2 linked regions of the Canis lupus familiaris genome follow. The protein of the gene in region 2 interacts with the protein of the main gene of each other region in a biochemical or structural test. Links are inferred from orthologs where the notes say so. Each region holds a gene or a part of one and is shown on either strand. Other genes may lie near its edges.

Region 1 (5,828 bases), on a different chromosome or scaffold from region 2:
TATATGTGATGGGACCTGTAACAGGCATAGAGAACAGTAATGAACAAAATAAGTCCTTGTTCTCAAGAGCTTATAAATTAGACCAAAGAGAGCGCAGCATTGGCATGGCATCACAGCTGCCCTATGACTTGTTTTGCTTGGCCTGCACTTTGAATCTTTTTTTTTTTTTTAAGTGGAGATAGTCCACGGTGTTCAGATTTCTGGTTCCTCTTAAAGATCAAAATATATGACATCACGGCTCACAGTTCCAACTATACAGCAATTGGAGCTGAGAGCCTCCTGGTATCTTTAAACCAGACCTGTTACATCCAAATGGAGTTTCCCCCACCAAACCCTATAATCTCTAACTAATCCAGTTCCAGTTGCTCTTTATCATCACGTTTGCTGGTGTTTTTCTCCTAATAGGGAAGTATTTCTCTGTACTTATGTCTCTGTCAAAAGCTGGAAAACTGGGATGCCCACCCAGTTGGCTCAGGAGGTAGAGCATGTGACTCTTGATCATGACTCTGTGGTCATGAGCTCCAGCCTGACGTTCCCGGTAGAAATTACTCAAAATAGGGATGCCTGAGGGGGCTCAGTGGTTGAGCATCAGCCTTTGGCTCAGATGGTGATCCCCCGGGGCCTGGGATGGAGTCCCACAGCACCAGCCTCTTACAGGGAGCCTGTTTCTCCCTTTATGTCTCTGCCTCTCTGTGTCTCTCATGAATAAACAAGTAAAATCTTAAAAAAAAAAAAAAAGAAAAGAAAAGAAAGAAGAAAAGGAAAGAAGAAAGAAAGAAAGAAAGAAAGAAAGAAAGAAAGAAAGAAAGAAAGAAAGAAAGGAAGAAAGAAAGAAAGAAATTACTCAAAAATAAGTAAATTAAAGACAGCCCAGGTGGCTCAGCGGTTTAGCCTGCCTTGGGCCCAGGGCGTGATTCTGGAGACCCTGGATCGAGTCCTGCATCGTGCTCCCTGCAGGGAGCCTGCTTCTCCCTCGGCATGTGTCTCTGCCTGTCTCTCTCTCTCTCTGTTTCTCATGAATAAATTTAAAAATATATTTTTAAAAAAAAAAGGTAAATTAAGGGTGACATAAGACAGCACATTTTACGGGGGAAAAAAAAAGCATTCGAGCTCAGGGAGAATGAGAATAATTTCTATGCAATGATGCAACCTAAAAGCCAGTGCAACACCATGCTAATGATGCTTGCGACTGGGAAAGACGTATTATGCACAAGTCAACGAAGTAAAAGACACACAGAAGGCTGAGGGTTTGGCTCTGAGTGAACGCAAGGCCGCGCTCTCCTCCTGGGCGGCCCGAACCCAGGCCCGAGGCGAGCCCCGCCCGCGTCTACGTCCCCAGCCTTAGCGCTGCGCCCGCAAAGGAGTTTGCGTGCAGCACTTCCAGGCGACGGTTCTCCGTACTGCGCTTATGGCAAAGCTGGGAGGGGTGAAGAGCTCCAAGACGGACATCAGGTCCCGCAGAACTGAAAAAAAAAAAAAAAAAAAAAAAAATTTTTTTTTTTTTTTTAAAGATACCCGCTTCGCTCCGGTACCGCAGAGCGGGACAGCGGGCCTCGGGCGGCCGGGAAGCCGAATCCGGCCGCAAAGCCCGACGCCCGCGCCGACGCCGAGACGCGGCGAGGCCCCGCCCCGCGTCGGAAGGAGCCCCGCCCACGCCTCCGTCGCCCACGCCCGCCGTTGCCAGGCAACGGCGCAGAGCACTGTGGGGAAGGGACGGAAGCTCCGGTGAGCCATACTTGAGCTGAAGGAGGAGTCTCTAGACGTGGCGGCGGCCAGCAGCAGGGGCACGAGCCTGGGAAGGGGCCGCTGGGTCCCCGGGGGGAGGCCGGACGAGAACCCGGGAAGGCCAACGCCGTAGCGGCGTGCAGAGTTCGGACGCTCGGGCGACTCGAGGCGGGGGCGGGGCCGGGTGCTGAGGGAGGCAATGGCGCGCGGGGCACTGTGGGACGCAGCGTGGGCCCCGGGGGGCGGGACGGAAGCCTCCTTGGGTCAGCGCGCGGCGACGCGGGAAGTCCGGACGCCGGAGCGGCCTGGAGGAGAGGCTCGAGGCGGAGGCGGGCCGCGGCGCCGGCGGCCATGGCGGAGAGGCCCGAGGACCTAAACCTGCCCAATGCTGTCATCACCAGGATCATCAAGGAAGCGGTGGGCAGCCCCGGCTGGCGGGTGGGCGCGGGGCGGACGAGCCGGCAGCGGGGGAGCGGGTCCGGGGTCCGGGTCCCGGGTCCCGGGCCGCAGCGTTACTCACCCGCGCTCTTCTCGCAGCTCCCGGACGGTGTCAACATCTCCAAGGAGGCCCGCAGCGCCATCTCCCGCGCCGCTAGCGTCTTCGTGCTGTACGCCACTTCCTGGTGAGCCGGGCCGGGCGGAGCCGGCGAGAGCTCCTCTGGGGCTGGGGCTGGGGCGGGAGGGAGGGAGGGAGGGAGCCGCACAGACCCCCCCCCCCCCCCGTCCGGTCCCCACTCCGCACCCTGGAGTCGCGAACCCCCAACAGGTGGGCCCTCCCGCGGTGCGGCGGAGGTCGCGCCCTCGTCCAGGGCTCGCGAGGTCTGAAGCAAAATAAAACGACCCTTTTGTGCAGGGAAGGGGAGGGACGCATCCGAGCATCCCTGACCTAGGCTTTGCCCTGCCCCGTTTCACGCCCGAATCTCCCTTTTGTTTCAGTGCCAACAACTTCGCGATGAAGGGAAAACGCAAGACGTTGAACGCCAGTGACGTGCTCTCAGCCATGGAGGAGATGGAGTTCCAGCGGTTCGTCACCCCCCTGAAAGAAGCTCTGGAAGGTAACGTCCCTCTGCTCTGTGCGGCCGAGGAGATGTCCGTCCCGTGTGACCGGCTCACCTGGCCGCGCTGAGCCTTCGCAGCTGGGGTCTGCGTAGGAACAGGAACCGAGTATCTGGTTGCGACTCGGAATCCGTTCGATGGGCGCCGAATCTGATCTGATTTGTGATGCCGAGCAGATTCACTGTTCCTTCCCGGCCCCAGCTTCTCCGGTTGTGCAGCGGAGTTGGCTGCTTGCGGTGGGTTTGGTCCAGCCCTGCCTGCTAACCGCCTTCCTCCTCACAGCGTACAGGAGAGAGCAGAAAGGCAAGAAGGAAGCTTCCGAGCAGAAGAAGAAGGACAAAGACAAAAAAACCGATGCAGAGGAGCAAGACAAGGGCAGAGATGAGGACAACGATGAAGACGAAGAAAGGCTGGAAGAAGAAGAACAGAACGAAGAGGAGGAAGTAGACAACTAGTGGGACGGGAAGACGTTGGCACCTTGGCAGGTACCGCCCTGAAACGTGGTGCGGTCCTGAGAGGCTCTTTCCCTGCTGGGGAGAGTGGGCCTCGCCAGAAGAGCCTGAGAAGATCAAAATAAAAACTGACTAAAATGACCAAAACCAGCGCTTCCGTCAGAGCATCTGAATAGCAGAGTCCCATTTTGCTAAGTCAGTTCTGAAGGTAATGACTTTTTGACGAGAGGGATTCTGAGCGGCTAAATTTAATTAGTCGATTTGATCTCTTATTACTTATATATGTGGTCTGGCAGTTTTTTGGTCCCCATCCATCACCACCACCACCACCACCCCCAAAAAAAAAAAGTAATAATGATTTCCATGCTGCCTGCTGTGTTCCAGGTCACAGAGGCAGTCAAAGCTCAGGAAAAATTGGGGCTTTTGAGCATGGTTGGTCTGTTTTGATTGTATAGGATTTGGCAGTACTAGCTTGTTATAAGTGGTTGGGATGGTTTAGCTTTAGGAAACTACTAAAAGGTTATGGGGGGGAAATGAAATCTGTTGTCTTTTCACTTGGCGTTAACATTGATTGAATTTTTATTTCTCCAGACCCACTTGGCGTGGAGCTCCTCTATGTTGCCTGGTAGGCATTTGACCTGCTGGGGTGCTGTCCTCTGGGTGCATATGCTTCTAAATCATTAGTGTAAAGTGGAACTCGTCAAGCACGTGTGCCAATATCTTACCCCCCCCTCCAAAAAAAACCAGACGGTTTAGTCTCAGATGCACCTCATTGCCTGCCACTCTATGGCTTTAGGATTTATGGTCACCTCCTGGAAGGTATAAAACCCCAGGCTTTTTCTTCTCATAGTCCATTTCCCAGGCTTGTGACTTTTGTTTTTCATTCTTTAATTCATGACGAATTCCAAACTTTATTTCTTTTAGGCACAACTTTCTCCCTCTTGCGTCTCCCTTCCCTGTCTCCCTTCTGCCTCTCCTCTGTTCCCCATTCCCACTTTCTTCCTCCTTTTGTCACATCTCCCAACCCAGGATCTTTGATAACCTGCTTAATGTCCCAAAGTGCAGAAATCTGATGGTGCTCAGGAATCTAATCCCTACTGCAAAAAAATCCATCCCCTTTAACTGCTTCTAAAGTAATTCTGTCGACCTTTCTCAGAGTTGTTTTTTTGTTGTTGTTGTTTTTTTCTCTTGATATTTGGTGCTCCAAGCACTTTTTTGTTTGTCTCTAAGTTGAGCGCTTGGAGGTTGACAGATAGTCAAATGTATGTAGTTTGACACTGTTAATTTGTTTAATGAATATAGTCAAGAGTTTGTTGACAAATAAATGAAGAATGTTGAGGAAAATTATAATGCTTTGTACAAATAAAGAACATTCTTGTTAACAGTGATGACTCCTGTTTCATCTTGCTTGTTTATACTATACTTTGGGGGAGGACCCTCACTGATCATCCCTATATGGTTTTTGGAAGGTAGACTGGGCCAGGTCTTTGTAAATCTGGGATCCTGCATTGCCTTGGATGACCAGCAGATGCTGCTCTTCGACCACGACAAGAGCTTTTCTATGGCTCTGCTGGGCACCCTATGGTTACTAGTTGCTTAATGACTCCATATTTATCGAGTCCCTATTGTGTGTTTGGTACTGTCCTACATGCTTTCAAGTATGAACTCTGAAATCCTATAAAGGAGAACTTTTACCTTCATGATGTCAACCACAATGCTTTATTACCTCTAATCTACATAACTTTCAAGTCACGAGTTTATAAATAACATTCCTTAAACTTGCAAACCCAGGAGTCATTAGATCTGGTGGCTTTTTCCCTGTCCACAGCAGAAACATCCTTTCCTAATTCCCATGAGCATCACTCAGCTAAGTTCTCAAGTCCCTTCTGGACTCCTGTGGCTTCTTTGAACTGTGTCCTGCCACCTGTCTGCTGCCCCCCAACTTCCCCCAAGTACTGCTTGCCAAGTGGATCATCCTGGAACATTGCTATGTTCCAGGCCCTCACTGCTTCCATTTAATCCATACTTAAACCTGGTACACAAAACCTGCTTGAGGGCTTGCCTCACCATCTATTCCAATCTGTCTCTACCACCTTGTAAGTCTCCAGTTAATGCATCCCCCAGAAGAACTCTCCACATGGCTTTAGGTCTTCCCGAACTTTGACTACCTAAGAAAAAAAGCATATTTCCTGGGAATGGGAATTCTGACTTAAAACCACAGAATTTAAGAGGTGTCTGGGTTGCTCAGCTGGTAGAGCCTGAGTCTTGACCTCAGGGTAGTAAGTTTGAGCCCTGCACTGGGTGTAGAAATTTTTTAAAAATTTTATTTATTCATGAGAGACAGAGACACAGACAGGGAGAAGCAGGCTTCCCGCAAGGAGCGTGATGCGGGACTCAATCCTGGATTCTGGGATCATGACCTGAGCTGAAGGCGGATGCCCAACCACTGAATCACCCAGGCATCCCTAGAAATTACTTTTTAAAAAAAAAAAAGGAAAAATCTGAGGTTATCAACTAGTTTTTTCCAAGCACACCTTTAACATTCCTGTGGTGGTATCTGAATTTTGAAGGTTGCTTAACTAAGGTAAGGCAAAA
Region 2 (5,251 bases):
CAAAGGAGAGAAATAAATAGCCACCTTATTCTTTATTGGATACACTACATTTCAAGTGTATTTAATTCCATACTTGATAAATGTCTGCAAGCGGCTGGAGTTGTTGGTAGAAGTATAGAAAGAATAGAATGTAAAGAAATGGGCACATCATCTGAGGAAGAGATGACCACTGTAGACTTTTCAAAGACTTTATAAGGTAGCAAAGCTATTATTAGGCTTGTCTTGTATGGCTCTAAATAACAAAACTATGACATGAATCAGTGTTAAGAGAAATATTTTTTAGTTAAATATTAGTAAACTTCATATCAGAATTGTATAGAAAGGGTTGCCTTGAATAATACTTTATGCTTCATAACTGGAGTTGTTATGCTTGGATTGCTTAGGTTATTGAAGTTACTCTGTTCAGAGGATTCAAGGTCATGAAATTTTTGTATTTACATAGATTGGTCTTTCCTGCAGAATGTTTACATCCTTGATGTGCATTCAAAGCTTTTTATAATCCATCCTTAGTCTATGACTGTAGCTTTACTGCCTTCATATCCCCCCACCAATTTACTTTTATTTGTATTTAAATCACATTGTATTCATTTTATTCTCATCCTCATGCCTTACCCTATCATGATTCCTCCTCCCTCATTAGATCTTCATGTTCTCACCCAAATTCTACACTAGTTACATTGAATAATAATTAAATACTATTGGCACTCCATTGGAAAAGACTACAAATTAAAATTATGTTTAAAACTTCCTTGGGGTGCCTGGCTGGCTTAGTACAGCTTGGGACTCTTGATCTTGAGGTTGTAAGTTAAGCCCAATGTTAAGTTTAGTGATTACTTAAAAATAAAAAATTAAAAAAATATGTGACTTAGGTTTTAAGTTTTGCTTAATTATTTAAAAACATGTTCTACTGCTTTGTTTTAATTCATCCCAGGGAAGCATACTATTTTGGACCTCAAGGTCCAAAGTGTAAGTGTAAACATTAGAACAGTGGGGGAATAAAGAAAAACAGGGAAAAAGAAAGATGTTATAATGCATGGTAATTCCTAACCACTTCTTAGAAGTTGATGGGTTCTTTATAGGTATTTTTGAGTTAAGGTATTTTGAGTTAAGGTAAGGGAGGTAATTAAATGTGAAAGTAACAGGGAAAGTAACCGGGCACATTTGAGCCCTTTTAAAACATTTTTCTTCTCGATAGGTATACTCGGATATTAATGAAGGATATAGATATATTAAACTCTGCAGGGAAGATGGACAAAATGAGGTTATTGAACATCCTGATGCAGTTGAGGAAATGCTGTAATCATCCATATCTCTTTGATGGAGCTGAACCTGGTCCACCTTATACAACTGATATGCATTTAGTGACCAACAGTGGCAAGATGGTGGTGTTAGACAAGCTGCTCCCTAAATTAAAAGAACAAGGTAAGTACGTTACTGATATCAAATTTAGAAGTGATGAAAACTGTTTTACATTTTAATGTAAAATAAAGGATCAATACAATTTAAAATTACTGATCTGGCAAGTTGAAGTATGGGAGGGCATCGAGAAACTTCTATTCTCATTACCCAAACTTCATTTCTGTCCTCAATTTTAGGCTTATACATCTTTTTAGCGATCAGTAGTTAGGGCAGTTACACTCCTAGATTTTGGGGGAGAGTTCTCACTTTATATATATAAAGCATATATATATATATGCTTTCCCAGATTTATAAGCTTTTTTTTTAAAGTGCCAAGAATACTCTTTCCACACATAGTTCCCAGATCCTTTGGTAAACAGTGTTGTGTTCACGGTATTTGTTTTTTATTATTTATGTGGAATTTTTAATTATTTAAATAATTAAATTTAAAAAATAAGGTTAACGGTAATTACTAAATATGTGCATGGACCCAAAGCAGATTTGTTTATAACATGGTGACTTTTTTGTGTGAAAATGAGTACGTCTGTAGTATATATAGAGTTATAGTTAAAATACATGAGTATAGAATGAAATGATTATGATGCCAGCTTCAGTCATTATAAATTCATGGCAAAACTTGTTTATATCTATACCACACTTCTTTTCCTCTTCTGGATTATTTTGAAGTAAGTCCCAGACATCAAAGCATTTCATTCACAAATTATTAATTCTGTGATATTGAAATAATATAGTCAGATTTCAGATTTTTCCATTTGTGTTTTTCCAATGTGTTTTGTTAAGAATGACTTTGTAGGGCAGCCCCGGTGGTGCAGTGGTTTAGCGCCGCCTGCAGCCCAGGGTGTGATCCTGGAGACCTGAGATTGAGTCCCACGTTAGGCTCTCTGTATGATGCCTGCTTCTCCCTCTGCCTGTGTCTCTGCCTCTCTCTCTCTCTGTTTCTATGAATAAATAAAATAAAATCTTAAAAAAAAAAAAAGAATGACTTTGTACCTGTCACCTCTCTAGGATACTAAAAATTAAAAACCTTCTAAGAGTTGTCAGTGAATTGGTTTACTTTTTTCTTTTTTGCTTCTGTGCCTTTTTGTGGAAATACGTTGTATAAAATGCTTTCTTTGAAAACTAAATAGTAAAGGATTGACTTGGAAAGGAATAGCAAGAACTTGGTAGAAATACTCCAATATTAAAGAAAGCTGTATTAAACTCTGGAAGGAGAATGGAGACTATTGAGCATCCTTAGGTTTTCCAGGTATAAGAAGGTGAGATACCAGCAGATTATCAGCTTCAGTTTATAAGACAAGATAATTTCATAATCCTTACTTTTTTATGATGACTTCTTGGTCTTCTATATTCTACTGTGAAGGCATTGCTTAGTTGGCTGAAGAAATGGAGGCAGTTTAATAACTAAAATCATGGCATAGGTAAAAGATGACCATTTAGATGTGAGGCCACCCTTACATTATGGTCCTTCCATTATTACCAAGTCTGGAATTAGGTCTTCAGAACTAGAAGGAGATGGGTTTTGGGTGTGTGTTAGGGGACGTTCAGGGTCATGCACATGGGAGAATTGTGGTGGAAGTGGTGGTGGAAGGTTATTTTTAAATCCATGTGGAATAAAAAGGATTATTCTCTCAGCCTTGGGACAGACCCAGGTCAGGACAGTATACCCTTTTCCATTGATCTTAGTGTGTTGTACAGATATTACATTACCCTTTCCATTTGTGCCACGGAGGGAAAAATGTGGAGAATGACTGACTTAGATAAATAATGCATATATTTTTTTCTTTTTTTTTTTTTAAGATTTCATTTTTATTTATTCATGAGAGAGAGGCAGAGACACAGGCAGAAGGAGAAGCAGACTGTATATATATTTTTTCTTATAACCAACTAGGTAACTTAGAGTTAAGGGGAACTGGTTAGTCTTAGTTTTGGTTAGCCTTAAATTTTTAAATACTTTTTTTTAACTTTTGAAGCTTCTGAAAATGGGCTGTTCTATTTGTTAACAGGTTCACGAGTACTAATCTTCAGTCAGATGACAAGGGTATTGGACATTTTGGAGGATTACTGCATGTGGAGAAATTATGAATACTGTAGATTGGATGGGCAAACACCCCATGATGAGAGACAAGTGAGTAAGATCCAGGGAGGGAAGATAAAAAAATTTAACAGATAAAATAATTGCCTGACATTTGTTTCTTTTTATACCTATAGGAGTCCATCAATGCATACAATGAACCAAACAGCACAAAGTTTGTTTTCATGTTAAGTACACGTGCCGGTGGTCTTGGCATTAATCTTGCTACTGCTGATGTGGTAATTTTGTATGATTCAGATTGGAATCCCCAAGTAGATCTCCAGGCTATGGTAAGAGATAATAGTTAAATATATTCTTAATATTTTCTTAAAGCTTAATTTCGTTAGAGCATACTAATGGTCTGCAAATTTCAGTGACAACCCAGTAGAATTTTTTCTCTGACTTAATCATTCAGGGAGGGTGTTTTATAGGTAATCTTTCATCTAAAGCAAGATATCTCTTACAGCTTTGCCATATCTTGGAGTATAGCTATGTCCAGTGTATCCTGATGCCCCAAGTGGGGGGGATAGAGAGAGTTGAGGATTGCCTAAGAAATTTTTTTATGGTTCAGATCCTAAAGTGTCCCCACATTCATTGCCAGCACTCAATCAGTGTAACTGGGTGCAAGGGAATTGGTAAATGATAGTATAGTTGTGCCTTGGGAGGAAAGGGAAACCAGTTTGGTGAGCTATAGATCTACCATGTTAGATGCTTAAAATTTATGCCCATGTGTAGAAGTTCTTTGGCTAGAACAGGAGGATCATTCTTAGATTGAGAAAATGTATGATCTGCGGATTAATATGGAAACTTATAAATTCTTAAGTTTGATACTTGACACATGGTATTTGTGACCATAACACAGGTGTTGGTTGCTTATAAGAGTAGCTGAGGAAAATTGATCAATTAGACATAGGGATGTTTTGTAAGAATGTGTTTTGTGAACTTAATAGAAGTTAAACGGAATTCAAATTAATTTGACTACTTGTATGTAGTTATTTGAAAACTAGGATTTTTATATTGTTTGTGGAGTTCTTTTTTCATGTTACTTCTTTCCCTAATAGCAATGAAGTTTGATGTATGATTTAGGTGGGAAAACAATTTGAATTTAAAACTAAGAAAAAAAGATTTAAACAATTTTTTATCATCCACCTTAAAATTTATAATTTTATCTGTCTTATCTGGAGATGTGTGAATTTTATTTATTATTTATTTACTTTTAAGATTTTATTTATTTGAGAGAGAGTAGGGGGAGGAGCAGAGGAAGAGGGAGGGACAAGCCAACTCCATGCCAAGTGTGGAGGCTGACTTGGGGCTTGATCTCACAAACCTGGCATCATGACCTGAGCCAAAATCAAGAGTTGGATGCTCAGCGGATTGAGCCACCGAGGCACTCTTAGAAACCTGTGACTTCTATATCAGTATAACCTAGAAGTTTTCCTTGTGAAATAATCAATTAATTTGATTGAAACAGAGAAGCTGCAAGGATCTGAGAAATATTAATCTAATAAAAATCTATTTTTAGAATAGTTTTGTTACATTAAAAACTTTCACACCTGAGAATATTTTAGTTTTCCGTTTTGGTATACACAATCAAGTATTATTTGTGTAATTTTTAACTATTCAAAATAACATGGTAATTTGCCTAGGACCGAGCACATAGAATTGGACAAACCAAGACAGTCAGAGTGTTCCGCTTCATAACTGATAACACTGTGGAAGAAAGAATAGTGGAACGTGCTGAGATGAAACTCAGACTGGATT

Evidence for each region.
Region 1: the proteins of SMARCA5 (region 2) and POLE3 form a complex in vitro, tested with the Homo sapiens proteins (2 studies listed by BioGRID). The link is inferred for Canis lupus familiaris from reciprocal best matches to the Homo sapiens genes SMARCA5 and POLE3.

Annotation. Positions count from the first base shown.
Region 1 is NC_049232.1:68,166,692-68,172,519, reverse strand, and holds POLE3 (DNA polymerase epsilon subunit 3), read left to right. Parts: upstream 1-1,974; 5' UTR 1,975-2,076; coding exon 2,077-2,142; intron 2,143-2,245; exon of another isoform or gene 2,246-2,262; coding exon 2,263-2,348; exon of another isoform or gene 2,349-2,352; intron 2,353-2,661; coding exon 2,662-2,780; intron 2,781-3,063; coding exon 3,064-3,236; 3' UTR 3,237-4,621; downstream 4,622-5,828. UniProt on the Homo sapiens protein: Accessory component of the DNA polymerase epsilon complex. Participates in DNA repair and in chromosomal DNA replication.
Region 2 is NC_049236.1:43,046,369-43,051,619, forward strand, and holds part of SMARCA5 (SWI/SNF-related matrix-associated actin-dependent regulator of chromatin subfamily A member 5), read left to right. Parts: intron 1-1,195; coding exon 1,196-1,422; intron 1,423-3,422; coding exon 3,423-3,544; intron 3,545-3,627; coding exon 3,628-3,780; intron 3,781-5,136; coding exon 5,137-5,251. UniProt on the Homo sapiens protein: ATPase that possesses intrinsic ATP-dependent nucleosome-remodeling activity.